2 linked regions of the Saccharomyces cerevisiae S288C genome follow. Changing the gene in region 2 together with the main gene of any one other region gives a genetic interaction. Each region holds a gene or a part of one and is shown on either strand. Other genes may lie near its edges.

The links.
Region 1: mutations in OPI10 (region 2) and JJJ3 together harm fitness more than expected from each alone (negative genetic interaction), as found in Saccharomyces cerevisiae (2 studies listed by BioGRID).

Annotation. Positions count from the first base shown.
Region 1 is NC_001142.9:610,554-613,615, forward strand, and holds JJJ3 (Jjj3p), read left to right. Parts: upstream 1-1,859; coding exon 1,860-2,378; downstream 2,379-3,062. Other genes in the region: SFC1 (Sfc1p), read left to right, coding at 1-188; YJR096W (aldo-keto reductase superfamily protein), read left to right, coding at 642-1,490; YJR098C (uncharacterized protein), read right to left, coding at 2,633-3,062.
Region 2 is NC_001147.6:263,484-267,009, forward strand, and holds OPI10 (Opi10p), read left to right. Parts: upstream 1-1,945; coding exon 1,946-2,686; downstream 2,687-3,526. Other genes in the region: glutamate--tRNA ligase MSE1, read left to right, coding at 1-1,602; SIL1 (Sil1p), read right to left, coding at 2,781-3,526. UniProt on the Saccharomyces cerevisiae protein: Involved in phospholipid biosynthesis.

The sequences.
Region 1 (3,062 bases), on a different chromosome or scaffold from region 2:
CCATTGGTGCTCAACTACTGAAAGAAGAAGGTTTTAGAGCTTTGTACAAGGGTATTACCCCAAGAGTGATGAGGGTGGCTCCAGGTCAGGCTGTCACCTTTACCGTTTATGAATATGTAAGGGAGCATTTAGAAAATTTGGGTATATTCAAGAAGAATGACACACCAAAGCCAAAGCCATTAAAGTAGATGATGAACAATGGGACTACAAAATGAAATAAAGAAAAAATAGAAATAGGCTAGAAGATCAATTATTAATCGCCCTATTCTTCCTTATTACCTACACAAAATAAAGCAGCAACATAAGAAACAAAAACAAAATGAAAACAAACCAAATAAATCTATGTAAGCATACTCATTTCAATTTGATATTCATTACTTGACTTTTTTGTCCTTATTTGAGGCTCCATAAGCGCGCCATTTTTCCCTACTCCCTTTTTTCGTAAATAGTAATAATGTGCTGAAAAGAACAATGAAGTAGTTATCATACATATTCCGTCGTGTCGATATGAGGGGAGGTGTCTCTTTCTTTCATCCCTTGTCGCAACCTCCAATATATAAGAGCATAAGCAACTGATCTTACTTTAGTAATTAACTTAGCATACCTAGCCCGAAGGAAGAAAAAAAATTCACCTCAACAACATGGTTCCTAAGTTTTACAAACTTTCAAACGGCTTCAAAATCCCAAGCATTGCTTTGGGAACCTACGATATTCCAAGATCGCAAACAGCCGAAATTGTGTATGAAGGTGTCAAGTGCGGCTACCGTCATTTCGATACTGCTGTTCTTTATGGTAATGAGAAGGAAGTTGGCGATGGTATCATTAAATGGTTGAACGAAGATCCAGGGAACCATAAACGTGAGGAAATCTTCTACACTACTAAATTATGGAATTCGCAAAACGGATATAAAAGAGCTAAAGCTGCCATTCGGCAATGTTTGAATGAAGTCTCGGGCTTGCAATACATCGATCTTCTTTTGATTCATTCGCCACTGGAAGGTTCTAAATTAAGGTTGGAAACTTGGCGCGCCATGCAAGAAGCGGTTGATGAAGGATTGGTTAAGTCTATAGGGGTTTCCAACTATGGGAAAAAGCACATTGATGAACTTTTGAACTGGCCAGAACTGAAGCACAAGCCAGTGGTCAACCAAATCGAGATATCACCTTGGATTATGAGACAAGAATTAGCAGATTACTGTAAATCTAAAGGTCTCGTCGTCGAAGCCTTTGCCCCATTGTGTCACGGCTACAAAATGACTAATCCAGATTTATTAAAAGTTTGCAAAGAGGTGGACCGTAATCCAGGTCAAGTTTTGATTCGTTGGTCTTTACAACACGGTTATTTACCACTACCGAAGACTAAAACTGTGAAGAGGTTAGAAGGTAACCTTGCAGCCTACAACTTTGAACTGTCAGACGAACAGATGAAATTTCTTGATCATCCTGATGCTTATGAGCCTACCGATTGGGAATGCACAGACGCGCCATAAAAAGAAAATGCGAACCGTAGAATAACGTATATAGAACATATAATTAGTTTACGTTTCACAAAGTATTAATATTACATGTAGCTTTTTCAGGACTTTCGATCTAAATCAAAGATTAAAGGAGCTGCTAGAGGTAGAAAAGGAAATCATTGACTTTTCTTGAAGATTTATGAGCGGGTAACTGGAGATGGAAATTTTCAGAAAAATTGTAAATGGATGCGATGACTTCGATGTGACGTTACTAGTCTTACCATTGTAAAAACCACTATCGGTGCCAAAAGATAAGCGCAATCAACTAAGAAATTTACCACGCTCTTTGTATTGTATTTATCTCCAATTTAATCTTTCTTTTGGTGTGAAAATTTAGCGAAAATGTCATTGGTGAATTCGTTAACACACTACGAAATTTTAAGAATTCCATCGGATGCAACACAAGATGAAATCAAAAAGGCATATAGGAATCGGTTACTAAATACGCACCCCGATAAACTTTCTAAAAGCATACATGATACGGTTAGCAACGTCACAATCAATAAGATTCAAGATGCTTATAAAATACTATCGAATATAAAAACTCGTCGCGAATATGATAGGTTGATCCTTGAAAACTATAAACGCCAAGGATTTCATAATTGTGGTGATGGGCTGGATGAATTTTCCTTAGACGATTTCTCATTTGATGAAGATAAGCTGGAGTTTATGATGAATTGTCCTCGCTGTCAATTTGTTGGTGGTTTTCATTTTAGTGAGAGTTTGTTAGATGAATGCATTGATAATGTAGACGCTATGGAACGGAGTCATTCTGGTTATCAATTATTAACCCAATGTAGCGCATGCAGCTTATGGCTGAAGGTTAATTTTGACATCGAGGAAGAGCAAGAAGGACAATAATGAAAATGGGAGGGGAAATTGAGCATATCAGATAAATCTGTTTATAGAATTATTATTTTACTTCGTGGGAAATCGAATGGTGTATATAAAAGAGGTTGTAAAATTGACGAAATAAATAGTATTTAGGCAACTAAAGATAAAAAAATATTATTTATTTTTATTCGCGGTGCGTTGCCAGATTTTTTTTGACATGCGGAATTTTGGTAAAAAGAAAAATGCAGATATGAATAGTAAACAAAGGAATAAAAAGCCTTTCATGAAGAAGTTCGTGTTCGAGATCTTCTTCCTTCTTTTTCGCTGTCGACGATAGATATGAATGCTTTTGCCATTGATTTCAAATCCGTCATTAAGCTAACATGACCTGAAGAACTGGCGATTTTACAAACAACTGGAAAGCCTCTCTGTTCAGGCAATAACCATTTATGGTGAACAACACCGTCGCCCGGACCATAGTAAAAATCTTCATAATTCCCATCTTTTATATCTTGTATACCGTTCACTTTAGCACCTCTAACAGTGGGAACCTTGTTACCGTAAACCATGGCCAATGGAGGATATTCTTTGTTCGGGTCGTAATCTAAGCTATCCAAATAATTCTTTGTACGTTTTAAAGTTCTCGCTAAATATTCACAGCTATCTTCATAAGATGTATGGAAGACTTCATCGAAAGGCACATCCCTTGGT
Region 2 (3,526 bases):
TTGAGAATACCGACACGGTCTTATTGTTCACCTTCGAAGCTAATAAAGGGCGTAGGTCTCTCACCATTGAAGAAATCTCTGTTATCCAAGAAAATAAAGGAAGATATCCATCCTTCTTTACCTGTTAGAACTAGGTTTGCGCCTTCTCCAACTGGGTTTTTACACTTGGGGTCACTGAGAACAGCCCTTTACAATTACCTATTAGCAAGAAACACCAATGGGCAGTTTTTGCTTCGTTTAGAAGATACAGACCAGAAGAGGCTAATAGAGGGAGCAGAAGAAAACATCTACGAGATTCTGAAATGGTGTAACATAAACTACGATGAAACCCCTATAAAGCAAAGTGAAAGGAAACTAATATATGACAAATATGTAAAAATATTACTATCTTCTGGGAAGGCGTATAGATGTTTTTGTTCAAAGGAGCGATTGAACGATTTGAGACACTCTGCAATGGAATTGAAACCTCCTTCGATGGCAAGCTATGATCGATGTTGTGCACACTTAGGGGAGGAAGAAATAAAATCTAAGCTAGCGCAAGGTATACCTTTCACTGTGCGGTTTAAATCGCCAGAACGATATCCAACGTTTACTGATCTTTTACATGGACAAATAAATCTTCAACCGCAAGTAAACTTTAACGATAAACGGTACGATGACCTTATCCTTGTTAAGTCGGATAAGTTGCCAACCTATCATCTGGCAAATGTTGTGGATGACCATTTGATGGGAATAACCCATGTTATAAGAGGTGAGGAATGGCTGCCCTCTACTCCTAAACATATCGCCCTATATAATGCATTTGGGTGGGCTTGCCCAAAGTTCATCCACATTCCCTTATTGACGACGGTTGGTGATAAGAAATTGAGTAAAAGAAAAGGTGATATGTCTATCTCGGATTTAAAAAGACAGGGAGTTTTGCCAGAAGCTTTGATTAACTTTTGTGCGCTATTTGGCTGGTCTCCTCCAAGAGATCTGGCTTCGAAAAAGCATGAGTGTTTTTCAATGGAGGAATTGGAAACCATTTTTAATTTGAATGGTTTGACGAAGGGAAATGCCAAAGTCGATGATAAAAAATTGTGGTTCTTCAATAAGCATTTTTTGCAAAAAAGAATACTTAATCCTTCTACATTGAGGGAGCTTGTCGACGACATTATGCCTTCTTTAGAGTCCATATATAACACATCTACCATAAGCCGTGAGAAAGTAGCTAAAATTTTACTGAACTGTGGTGGTTCTCTATCAAGGATTAACGATTTTCATGATGAATTTTATTATTTTTTTGAAAAGCCCAAATATAATGATAATGATGCTGTCACGAAATTTCTAAGCAAGAACGAAAGCCGCCACATTGCTCACTTATTGAAGAAGCTTGGACAGTTTCAAGAGGGCACCGATGCTCAAGAAGTCGAATCTATGGTCGAAACGATGTATTATGAGAACGGTTTTTCTAGGAAAGTCACGTATCAGGCAATGAGATTTGCTCTTGCGGGATGTCACCCAGGTGCCAAAATAGCAGCCATGATAGATATTTTGGGCATCAAGGAAAGTAACAAAAGATTATCCGAAGGTTTACAGTTCTTGCAAAGAGAGAAAAAGTAATAATAATATTAATAAAAGGTTTCGATACAATAGGGTCATGTAAATACGTCATATACATAATGTAATTAGCCACTACTGTATACGTTTATTTTGTTATTATGATTAAGCTTGATTAAGTTTAATTAAGTTTAATTGAATTTTCTTAATGAAGCCGACCGAACGTTCTGGAAGAGTTATATAGGAATCGGGTACTAAAAGCGAAATTTGGGGATAAAAGGAGAGATCTACATTTTATTTAAAATACGTCAATTCGACTCACCCTTTAAATACGAAAATAAGTGGTCTAATAAATTTGCAAATTCGGAGATTGATAAGAAATATTTGAGTGAGAGAAAATAAAGAAATGTTTGCTGCAATTGCCTCAGGAAATCCATTGCAACTATCGGTAGAAGTCCCCAATTCAAATGGGTTACAGCATACAATTGTCCTTTCTCGAACGAAACCGAAACTATACTCGCATATAACACTGTTTATATTACCTAATGTTACCTTTCCTCAGGATTATATAGCTACAGTCTATTTCAAACTTAGCCCTCAGGAAGAATTTAAACTATTTGGGTACCTAAGCAGTGAGAAACCCAGTGCCATATTCAAAGTGCAAATACCGAGCTCGAAGAAAGACGCTGGAGATACAAGTGATGGATTAGGTGAGATAGACATGGATGTAGATGATGGTTCGGGGGCCGCTGATCCGTTTACTGACACCAATGGAAGTAGCAGTAATAACATATCAGAATTGATTATTGGTATTTCCATTGAGCCTCGAGAACAAGGAATGATGAAATTAGAAGAGTGGAAGGCCAGCATGAATGCCGAAGCACAAAAGAACAACTCATTGATCTTGTCAAGACCTAACTTAGGAATAATTCGAAATATTACCACGGCAGGGCAGTTGGCACAAGTTTACCCTTCATTGACACAAGAATTGGCCGCCAAAATCGTTCAGCATGCATATAACTATTTATCAGGGTTCCTAGATGCTCAGGGAAACGTGCCCATCAAGAGGTTTGATACATGGTGGGACAAATTTAGAAATAGACTGGCCAACGACGGGACGTTTTTGGATGAAGTAACTAAAAATTAGACACGGATATATAATATATCTCTAATAAGATTCACGAAATATTAATTGAAAAAAATATTATTAATATTAAACTATATATGCAATGACAGTGAAATCAGAGTTCATCTCTGAAATTTTTTATTCTATGAGCCATGGGGTTGCCAAAGATCAAGTGTCTGCTGTCGATAAGTTTCTTATCAAATGAGTCTTGTTCAGTATCTCTCTCTTGGAGCCCATTGTCCAAGTTAGATTGCCTGGCTTTACATTGTTGCGCTAACCAATTCAAAAACCCTTTGTTGATCGTGATGTCACTTTTGAAAATTTTCTTCAAGTTGTAAAGGGTGTCAAAAAACGTTCTTGTATGTAGTTCATCTATACTTTTGTTCTGGACCATCTCTTGGAACTCGTTTGCCCACTCTTGCAGATTTGACGACCAATTCTCAGCATTTCTTTTGAACAAAATTAGATTTGTATCGTCATTTTCGTACATGTCGGCCTTCAAAATTTTGCTGATCAACTCCAGGACTTTTATTTGTAACTGTTTGTCCTTGTTGTTTCTTTCATATACATTTTGTAAAACAACCGTAGAGTATATAGGAAGATCTTCGGATGTGACAGGTAATTCGTTTAAAATGGACAAGTATCTTTTTATTAGGATATTAGAGGATCTGTGGTTAGAATCATTCAAATTTGACAGAGCGGCCATGATTTTGCTTTTAAAATTTGGAAAACTTTCATTAATGAACTCGACTACAGGAGGATTGTTTCTCAAGCAGCTGGTAATGACTCTAGTACTGAGCTCTCTCAATGTTAACGGCAAATTTTCATTGAGACTAAGGTTGGCCAAGAGGGCGAATTCAT